Caenorhabditis elegans: one gene and its partner. The protein of the gene in region 1 interacts with the protein of each later gene in a pairwise test. Each region holds a gene or a part of one and is shown on either strand. Other genes may lie near its edges. The genes, in order: klp-3 and sorb-1.

What was found.
Region 2: the proteins of klp-3 (region 1) and sorb-1 interact in binary tests that used the Caenorhabditis elegans proteins (3 or more experiments, as listed by UniProt).

Annotation. Positions count from the first base shown.
Region 1 is NC_003280.10:7,840,339-7,846,153, reverse strand, and holds klp-3 (Kinesin-like protein klp-3), read right to left. Parts: upstream 3,802-5,815; 5' UTR 3,738-3,801; coding exon 3,681-3,737; intron 3,505-3,680; coding exon 3,366-3,504; intron 2,881-3,365; coding exon 2,673-2,880; intron 2,539-2,672; coding exon 2,213-2,538; intron 2,121-2,212; coding exon 1,834-2,120; intron 1,786-1,833; coding exon 1,655-1,785; intron 1,608-1,654; coding exon 1,466-1,607; intron 1,423-1,465; coding exon 1,320-1,422; intron 1,270-1,319; coding exon 1,072-1,269; intron 1,024-1,071; coding exon 923-1,023; intron 876-922; coding exon 771-875; 3' UTR 501-770; downstream 1-500. Other genes in the region: Acetylcholine receptor subunit alpha-type acr-7, read left to right, coding at 371-490.
Region 2 is NC_003282.8:13,748,562-13,753,509, reverse strand, and holds the start of sorb-1 (SH3 domain-containing protein), read right to left. Parts: upstream 3,178-4,948; 5' UTR 3,175-3,177; coding exon 3,136-3,174; intron 3,088-3,135; coding exon 2,883-3,087; intron 2,858-2,882; exon of another isoform or gene 2,837-2,857; intron 2,652-2,836; exon of another isoform or gene 2,628-2,651; intron 2,468-2,627; coding exon 2,337-2,467; intron 2,326-2,336; exon of another isoform or gene 2,305-2,325; intron 2,251-2,304; exon of another isoform or gene 2,227-2,250; intron 2,014-2,226; exon of another isoform or gene 1,993-2,013; intron 1,755-1,992; exon of another isoform or gene 1,734-1,754; intron 1,721-1,733; exon of another isoform or gene 1,700-1,720; intron 1,584-1,699; exon of another isoform or gene 1,563-1,583; intron 1,121-1,562; exon of another isoform or gene 1,100-1,120; intron 1,030-1,099; coding exon 176-1,029; intron 160-175; exon of another isoform or gene 139-159; intron 1-138. UniProt on the Caenorhabditis elegans protein: Required for organization of sarcomeres in body wall muscles and for maintaining normal mitochondrial position in myocytes.

The DNA of each region.
Region 1 (5,815 bases):
GTGGCCGTGGAAGAGAATGTCCTTCTGTTTGGACTGTCTGAGTCTCTTTTAGAGAGGGAAGAGGCATAGAGTACTTCGCGGAAAAAATGAGTCTGGTCTGGACAACGAGATAGATAGAGAGAGCCAACCGTACTCGGTCAAATGTAATGCATGTATTATATTGTCATATATGCCCCAAAATAGGGTTTAAGTTATTTTATACAATTGACAACATTATTAACATTTCTTTTTAGAGTTAGATCAACCTTATAGTTCAATACTTTATTTCCTCTATTACCATTCCAGTCTCTTATAGTCACACTTACCAGCAAATAAAAAATAGTCCTACATGCAGGCCTAATAAAAAAACAATGTTTATTTCAAATTTTAGGACGAATGGAAGTTTGCAGCTCAAGCAGTTGACCGATTCTGCCTTATAATCTTCACAATTGTTTTTATAATTTGTTGCTTCATTTTTGTTGCAATTCCACCTATCAAAATATTGGATTGAACTAAAAAATATTAAATGAATATTTTTATTGTTTCAAAGCTCACACATAAACAAATTTGCAAATAATAAAAATGGGGGATATATTTAGATTTGAAAAAGTAAACCGTATTTCAAGTTTTTTGGTCAGTCAGCAGTTTTAGAAAAAAAAAATTGTTGGAACCCATTTTGAATTTTTGAAATTTTTCATGGACTAGAATGGAAAGAGTAAGCGGGTATTTCAGGGATTTGACAAGATGATTATTGGAGAAGTAGAGATGAAATATTTGATATTTTATGAGGTTCATTTTCTTGGAGATGCTGGGATTTCTCTTCGTTGACCACTGCTTATTCCAGTCATACTTCTACGTGTTGGTTCTCTTTTCATCGTTCCACTTTTTGTGAATACCTGAAACATTTAATTTTTGTAAAATGTGATAAGGCATAAATGCATACCTGTCCGATTTTTTCAGCAAAATTAACACTGCTAATAGATTCATTCAAACTCTTTGCATCTGGTGATAAATGCACAATGACCAGAGTTTTACTGTCTCCATCTGAAAATAATATTTAAAAGGGAAATCCCAATATATTATGAAACTCACTCAAGCTATCTTCAAGAATTCTTGTCAATTGACAATTTCTGAATGGAATATGTTTTTGATTCTGGCGAAGAGCAAGTACAACATTTCCAAGTTCAGATAGAGATTTATTGATAGCTTGAGCTTCTTTTAGCAGTTGACCGGTTGCATTCGTTTGAGAAACTCTCTCTGATCCAGCAAGATCTACCAAATTCAGACGACCTGAATAAATCATATATTCAAAATATTTTTTCACTTGAAAAATGACATACCAACTGTAGTTGCTTTTGTTATAAGATTTGTGGCCGATACTAAAACTCTAACAATAACATGAGAACGACTGGATTCAATATTGGCTTCAGTAGCAGCTACAGCCTGAAAATTGAAAATTTAGAATATGAAGTTGTTTCAAATTCACCTTATTCTTTCTTCCTCTAGCAAGCGTTTCCGTGACTTCTTCTGCAGAGTTCACTGAAACTTCCTCAAGTCCTGGAATTGAGCTTCTCCCTTCTTCAGTTTGACGAATTGCCAAATTTGTGTTGGAAGTGTTCAAGAGATCACTGAAAAATGAATTTGCAATTTTAGGTTAAAAAAAAAGTCAATTTACCGTATTTTTTCATTGTATATCTCCATCATGGCAACTTTAATATCATATTTTATATCGCCCGTTCTCTCCTTCGCAGTTTCGAACAATTGCATAATAGCTCTTTGATTGATTCCAGGCATTGTGACGGGACCCTGAAAATTGGAAATTTAAAGTTCTATTGAAAATTTAATTAAACTTACATCCATAGTGTATGTTTTTCCACTTCCGGTGTGTCCATACGCAAATATGCATACATTATAACCATCAATGCAAGATGTAATAATCGGAGAAACTTCATTAAATATCTGATCTTGCGAGAAATCAGTTGGAATAACCTTGTCAGCTCCAGCACTAGTTTTCCGAGTTCCCGTTGTGTTTGACACGTGGACAACTCCGTTATCCATTTCATCTATCACGACAACTGGTTTTTGATTGTCAGTTTCTGATGCAAGTTGTGGACGGATACGGTAGAATACACGAATGTTACCTTAAAAATTGAAAATTTTAGTTTTTTGGAAAGTAGTTATAAAGATCAATCATTCCGATTTCTTGGAATATTTCAATCAATTTAGAACTTACCATTCAACTCAACCAATTGATTGTGTAATTGCTTTCGTTTTTCCATTTCTGCTTTGTATCTTTCAATGAGAACTCGGAAGAAATCAGTTGTCTTTGAAGTGAGCATCATTCTCATTTCAGCCATACATACATTGAATGCATCTTTTGTATCCAATGCTAGTCTCTTCAATTCATCTTTTTCAGTTTTCAGCTCTTCTGCACATCTCTGAAGTTTCTTCCAATGCCCTTCTTCTCTCATTGATTGAACCATTTGAGGATATGGCTTTATGACGTCACCCGTTGGTTGGGGGCTCACTGATCTGGGAACCGAACATGAAGAATCACGGCTGGAATACACAGGAAAACATGCAAAGGCTTGCAAACGGAAAATAAATTACACTACATTTTTGACCTACTTTTCAAAAAATTCAAGTGTTCAAACTATTTTCACAAGACAATCACATTACAATAAAATGGTTACCTCAAAGCAAATCGATCCTCATTGCTTGTCATATCACTTTCATAATCTTCATCAGTTTCCAATAACTCATTCACTCTTGCCACTTTTTGCATTTGGCTCAGCGCATTTTTCAATCGTAGATTTTCTTCCGAAAGATTTCCGAAATCCAGTGAAAGAACTGAAATTCCTTTCAGCATATTTGACCGATTTGTGTATGACGTGGCACGGCCTGCAATTCAATTTCAACATTTAATAACCTGATCATTCCAATTAGCCGTTTGCTAGATTATTGTTTAGAAATAAGCTGTTGTAAGTTTTGTTTGGACTTGCGAAATTAAAGTGAACATGTAATGATGTTAGAAAAATATTATCAGTATCGGCCGGATTGAAATGATTTTGGTAGAATATGTGAAATTGAAAAAAGGCACTGTCAACCAAAAAACCAAGTAGAAAATAATAAAGATTAAACACTATAAAATCATGCCAATCCGACCACCACAACACAATTACTTTAAGAAAAAACAAAAATGCGTATTAAAAGATAACACTTTTGAGCTAAAGATAGCCAAATCACACGACGATCAAAAAATTGGGATTAAAAAACACGGTACTCATGACAATATATCAAGTAAGTGTCTAAGATTACGGATAAGTAATACGGGGTTTTAATCATGCAAAACTTCACAAAAATTCACTACACACGACAGTGCGTACCTTGAATAAAATCTTCCATATTTGCAATTCGTGACTCTTGTTCGTCTATAATATCTTCTAAATTTCTCAGAAGTCGGTCTTTTGTCTCAATGTGTGTCTCCAGAATTCGCATTTGCAACTTCATATTTACGAGTTCCACCTGAAATTGAACAATAATTGGAATGTGAATTAGAATTCTGGTACACAATTTTTTAATAAACTCAGTGAAAAATGGTTCAATCAATTTCAGAAAAAAAAAATCTTAAAATATTCTCTCAAACTTTGTGCAACTAGTGACACTAGTTAAACCAAAAACAAACTGAAATTAGAACAAACCTCATGAATATACTTGCATTGTTGGAAAATATCGACTTCGCCGACATGCGAATCCATTTTTAAAGTCAAAAATGGAGTGAGAGACTCCTGTGTTTATGTGTGTCGATCGTTTATTTTTTCTGGAAAACAGTAATTCTAGGGTGCAGCGGTTGAGGAAAACAACGCAAAAAACGGAGACAAAAATTTTTGTGTTCATTTAGAAACATAGAGGATAGTCAACATATTTAAGAGTATGTAAAATTGAAAAAGGAAATAAAAAGTGAACAAAATGTCAACAACGTTCGATTTTTTACTTTCTCTTTCTGTCTACTATATCGTAGCCAGATCAAAAAGGATAATCTTTTAGTTAGCAACTAAAACAACAGGAAAAAAACAAAAAAAAGTAAAATATAGCAACTGAATGGCATTCAAAAGTATCTCAAGTGGTCTTCTATACAAGACCAAGCCGAAAATGAATTGTTGGTCAGGTATTATTAGCGGAAAAAGGGAAGAAAAGAAAAAACCGAGAAGAAGTGAAAGAACTGGTCGAATATGGAGAAAAAGGTGAAGAAGTATCTCTGCAAATACAGTGATTCCACGTCATAAAAAAGTGAGAGAAGGTAAACTAATAAAAATTGAAGAAGGAATGAGGAGGATGAAAAGTTGAAAGGGCACAGAGAAAGAGCTTGTAGCGAAACAGGCGCACAAATCAAACATGAAATTGAATACAATGTAGACTGATGGCAGAACATTGAACAAAAAGGAAGAGAAAATTATTTGTGATCTGATCTCGGTACTGTTTTGTTTGCCGTCAAGCACTTTCATGAATGAGGTTAATTTTGTATTTATAGAAAATTCACAGAACGGTCGAGTTTCAAATAGTGGAAAAGGTATCATCAACTTGCTATAACCTAGTTTATTCCATCGCTCCAAAATTCTTGTAAATGTATAGAATTTTCATAGAACAACTGATGAGAATATATTGGTTGATTAAAAAACATTTTGAAACAGAAATTAAGCCCAATTTATTGAATATTTGGAGGTTTGAATAAATGGTTATTAAAAACTCAGAGCTTGTTTTCTGATAATATAAAGAATGATCTTTAAATAAATTAAAACAATTTGTTTATAATGAATATTGATGATTTCATTAAGCTTGTCTGACTCGGGTCACTCTACAGAATAACGAACGAAGAATTCTGACTAAAGCCAATAAGATTTGTGGAAAAATGTTTGAATTCCATCACCCGGAGCTCATGATTTGTTCTTTTCTTTCTTCCAACATCATTCCATTTCACATTTTCACAAACGAGCCTGTGTTCGGTTACAAGAGCTCATAAACTTCTAGTGCACATTTTCACATTTTCAAGTGGTTGAAAAAGAAAAAAAAACGAAAAGTGACGACGGTAGTGAAGAAATCTGAAGAAAAAAGAAGAAGCATGTCGATTCACATTGAATTGATGAGAAGGAAAAGGATGGAGTGTGCTCCGAGAAACCGACGAGCAACATGATTTATTAGTTGTGACCCACAAAAAAGGAGTGACACGAAATGGGAAAAAGTCTGTTTTGGGTAGCATCTAGATCAGAGAAATTCAGGCGATAGGCATATAAATACAAGGAAAAGTCTAAATTGGATTGGTGTTCAATGATGGAAGTTCCAAGACAAAATTCAATGACCAATCAGAAATTTCAAGAGTTAAGCGATGATGGTGGTGGACTACGGGCATGAATGTGTTTGTAAAAGTGATCAAAATGATGCGGAAAAGTGATCGAAAAGAGACGAAAGTAGGCGGAGTTGGGCGGAAATGAGAGGGACGCGGAACGGGCACACACACACGTAATAGGCAGTAAGCCAATTGTTTCTGCTCGTTTTTCAGGTTTCATTTCTTGTTTTATGGCGAGAACATACACATTACATAACACAAACAAATAGTTTTCCGTGTAATTGTGATGACCACGACAAGACCGCTAATTACAGAACATGAGAATTTGGAGAATTTAAGCGCAGAAGGAGAGAGAGAGAGATAGGGAAAGAGTTCGAAATGTGGAACATCAAGAAAAATGTTGGTATTGAACTAGAATAATTTTTAAAAATTGCTTCACCAATATCTTTCGTGCTCTTGAAATCTAGACACATACCTCATTTTTGATTAGTA
Region 2 (4,948 bases), on another chromosome or scaffold:
ATCGTATTGCCAAGTTGATACACTTCAACTTAGAACAGTTGGGGTTTTGTTGAATAAAAAATTTTGAGTTTGAAAATTTCGAAAAATTTCTCCTGTTTCAAGTATTCTACATATTAATCGATCAAATAGATTGTGCAATTTTCATTACATATGTTCCACGAAAACATCAACTCACCTATCATTTTTGAATCCTTGTTCTTTATAAGACGGAGTTGATGTCATCGGCGATCGATTTTGCTTCTCCTCAAAGCTGGCTCCAAAAAATAAATTGCTCGGCGATTGACTCGCCAAGTTGGGTGATGACTTGGAAAGGTCAATTGCCACTGGTTTATGCTTCCTTCGAATAGTTCCATAATGATCCGTCGAGCTTGTAGAGTAGGGAGCCGGGGATTTTGATTTTACGAGAAGTTGGGAACTTTCCAAATCGATAGATCTCTTGATTTCACTCTCTTTTTCTGGAGAAAATGGTGGAAAATTTGTTGGTTCAAATTGTTTAGCAACAGGAGCCACGTGGCCAAACGGTGTGAGTTCTGAATTGAATATTGAGCTTGATGGAGGCTGAGGCTCAGGTTGTTGATTCTGCTGATTATTTCCATTTTTCAAATTTTCAGTCGATGACGTCATCACTTTTTCAGACAAAGATACACACGGTGTCTCACTTCCCTCTTTCAATTCATTTTTCTCTTCCATTAACTTTTTCCTATATTGCTCATAGAGATGCCGTTGCTCGGCTGCCGCAGAAAATCCAGCAATTTCTGAAGATTCTCCAAATGTCGAGATACACGAGGAAATAATTGATGCACTGTCATCAATGTCGAATTCTCCGAGGTGATGACGTGGATCGAGCGCCACGTCATACGGGATTCGGTAGGACGTTTTTTGAGATTGCTGGGGTTGAGAGGGGGCTTTGGAGCTCTGTAGGACCTGAGCCTGAAGGGCTTGAGCAGCAGAGTGTGGAGGCTTTGTGGAAGGAGGCACTGGTGGTTTCGACTCATTGTGCTTTACTTGACTGTAACTGGCCGGTGGAACCTGGAAGTTGCAAAAAATAATTCTGCTGTTTCAACTTCATAACATAATGCGAAGATGTTAATAGAGTCGGTCTTTCAAATTTCCCCGCTTCGAATTTCAAGTAACTGATTTTGGCATTCCGTTTGCAAGAAATTGGAGGTATCAACACCGAATTGAATAAAACTTTATAATTTTATTGATTTTCCTGGTTAGAATCAGTTCTGCGCGGAAAATCTTTTCAGCAAATGTACAAACCTACGTATTTTAGTTTGGTGATTATATTTTTTTTGTATCAAAAATCATTACAGAAATGTAGGACAAGGTTTGTTCTATGAGTTCTATCTGATAATGATATTTATTTTTTCTGCAAAGTTCGAAAATTATCTCAAATAGTGCCTGAGTTAGGGTTTGCCGTGAAACTTTTTCAGCAAATGACAACTTTCAGACACTATTTGACCCAATTTTCATAGAAAATTGAAAAAAAAAAAATAGAAACCACAATTTTTTCTGTTTCAGGAATTTTATGTCATGACAATAGAACAAGCGAAAAATGTTTATTGGTTTCAATCTTCAGTGTGTCGCAACAAGTCTAAGTAAGAGAATAAGCACTAAATTTTTTAGAACAACATGAAATGTCTTGGCGATTTTTCAGGTCATTTGCATTTGCAAGTTTTAAAAAGTACTCAAAACATTTTTCCTATAAGTTTTCCTATCACAAAAAAATAGTAATGTAGTTTTCATAGACAACACGAAAAAGTATTTTCATTGTTTTAAATTTTTGCAAATCTTCAAACTGTACACAAAATTTTAACGTTTTTTAAAACAATTTTGCGTAAATTTTTATCTACATAAGGATTTTTCATAAACTTCCCGGAATGTACAATTTTCAAAATAGAACTGAAAAGTTGTGTTTTCGGAAAATTAAAAAGAAAGTTCTACTGTTTCGTGAAAGCCATTTAGGACATTTACAATTTTCCGGTTTGATCTGATCGGTTTGTTCTTTTTTAACTTAAAAACTGTTAAATTTTTGAAATTTCGTATATAGAAGCTATTATTACTTGTGAATTGTATTTCTGAAAAGTAGAAAACTTCAAAACTCAAAATAATTTTGCTCATATTTTACAATTTTTAGTGAAGCTTTAGTCGATAATAATTTCTAGAAAAAAACTCACGTGTTTCACTCATAGCTTGTAAAAAAAGCCAAAAAGAAAATAATATCAGTAAAAAATGGTCAGTAATAACTAAATTTAACTATTTCAGCACATTGTTTTCAGTTTGAAAAGTTCGTTGCTTTATTGTATCGCTGTTTTTTTCAAAATAAAACTCACTCCTTGAAAATATTTATTTGGATTGACAGGACCATCAAGTACTCTTCCCATATTATGCTTGTTAAGATGTGGATCCACATATCCATTTGGTTCGTATACTTTTACATTTTTGGCCCAGGAAGGAGTTGAGTCTGGAATTTATTATTTTATTGAACATCAAAACATTTGGATTTTTTGAATATTGCTGGTTAGGAGAGACATCAGGAGTTGTTTTCCGCAAAATCAGAAAAAATTATACAAAAAAAACAGTTTTAGATAGTTTATAAGACTACTTCAAAACTTTATTGTTACTGTTTGCAGCATTCGGACAGAAACCAAAATATCTTACTATTAATAGAAAAAATGACAAAAATCTAATTGCAAAATTGCTGCTTCATCTTCCAGGTCCGTCGAGGTACCAGGTCTCAGCCAATCGTGTATTTGTTGACTATCTTGTTGACTAACATTTTTTACAGTTTCAAGGAATTCATATGAGCTATGTGTTACTTTCCGAAAACTATTATTTCGTAGCTTAATACATAGAACGCCTAGAAAAACAAAACTCACCAACAGGCGGAGGCGCTGGTTTCTGATATCTGGAACTATTTCCAGTTGGTGTCTTCATATCCAACTGCCCATGTATCACATTTCTCAACGCCGCCACATTTCCCTTCGGTGAGAATTTATCAGAATCTTCAAAGGTGTCAAAGTTGTAGGCATCTGCTGCAGGATTTAGATATTGACCAGATGGCTGTTGTGGTTCTGATGAGTTCTGGAAATTAATTAGGGATTGTGGAGTAGATTAATTGAAAGCTCTTACCGCCAGGTTTGACCCGAATGGATGAGGATGATGCATCATTCCTGGAATATGGGAGTTTGAAGAATTGTATAACAAAATAAAGGAAAGAATAAATGAAAAATGTGAAATACGGAAGACTAATATGTTCTGTCAGAAATGGGATTTTTTTTTGAAATTTGTACTGTAACAGTTTTTATAGTTCTCGAACTTTACCCAATCTGACAATAATTGCAGATTCATGGGATGTACACTATTCAAGAATATTTTCCATTTTCCAGAAAACTTCAGACATCTTGAAAATTTGTTTTAATTTTCAAAATATTTTCTCACTAGATTTTTAAATTCTATAAAGATTTTGAACCCAATTTCCAACTAAATTTGACATTTAGGAGCGCCAGTAGAATGCATTTTTGGAATTATAAGGATGGTACTTAAATGACCATATTGTCAATTTTTGTTTTGACTGTTTCATTTAAGTGTTAAAGCTCCCACAATGGATTCACGTTCAATTGACGCAATCCTTAAAATCATAATTTTTGTTGAAATGTTAATGCTTGTGTTAAAGTTATTGTTTTTAAAGTTTTGAACACCTTTTGAGACTTGAATGAGAATGTATCTAGTTTTTAAAAATAGCTTCCAAGACCGGGTAAAATGTGCACGGCAATCACAATTTTGCCATTGCTGGAATTGAAAAATGCTAATTTTTGTTTTCTTAAAATAGAAAAGACACTTGTAATTTTTTAATTTTAAAAATGAAAATAACATTCTGGAACAAGTGTTTAAATTTTATACTGTTTCTTTGAAATGGTAAAGCTTTTACAACATTTTCAAATCTATTCCACCTTTGTCCATGAGTATGTAAGACGTACAACTTTTGAAAAATGTTGTCTGGTCACTTGAGCAGTTTTTTCAAGAATAGTAAAACTTTTAGGTTAAAAATTTTTTATAACAGGGAAAAGGCCACATTTCATCTATCAGAATTTGGGGTTCGACCCAAAAAATTATTTCTACGATTTTTTACACTTTCATTAAGTTTAAATAATTAGAACTCAATGATTGTAGGAGTTGCAAAATCAGTTATGTATTTCACTGAAAACTAAAATTATTGAAAATTAAAATAATAAAAATTACCGTTTCACAGTTGTAATAGTTAACAAGCCCGAAACAGTACTAGGTTTTACGAAAAGTTGTTATTTTGAAATACGACAAAAAAACCAAAATAAGAAAAATTTTATCAGTAAATCGAGTGATATTATTGTTGCGAGAGCCACACTTAGAGAAACTAAGAATGTCCCTCATTGCGTCTTCTGTCCCCGGGACACGAAACAGAATCACATTCTCTCAGTGTCTGCGTCTCTCTATCTTTTTGCTCACTATATACATGACTTTACACACTTTTCGTCTTTCTTCTTTCAATTTTTGTTAAGCAATTGCCGGATGGACCTGCTGAAGAGAAAGAGAATGAGAGGAGAGAAGATGGAACTGCTCTCAAGTGACCAGACAAACTTTTTCATCACTATGATCATGATCATCACACCTTTGATTTAGTACTCTTTTGGCCAGAAGTAACCGTTGTATTTAAAAAAAGGTGGAGCGCAAGCTTATTAGTTTCAAAGGAAGAACAGAAACTTTAACACTTCATAGAAACAGTTAAAATTTGCAAAAAATTTGTTCAAAAAAATTATAGTTTTTTGCCGTTCGCATCACAATTTGCCATCGAAGAATAAACCTAGGAGACTAATTGTGCTTAAAAATAGTTTTTTTATTAGTTACCAAATCTATAAAAATGAGTATTTTCAGAATATGAAAAACATCAAACTATTTTTTAAAAATA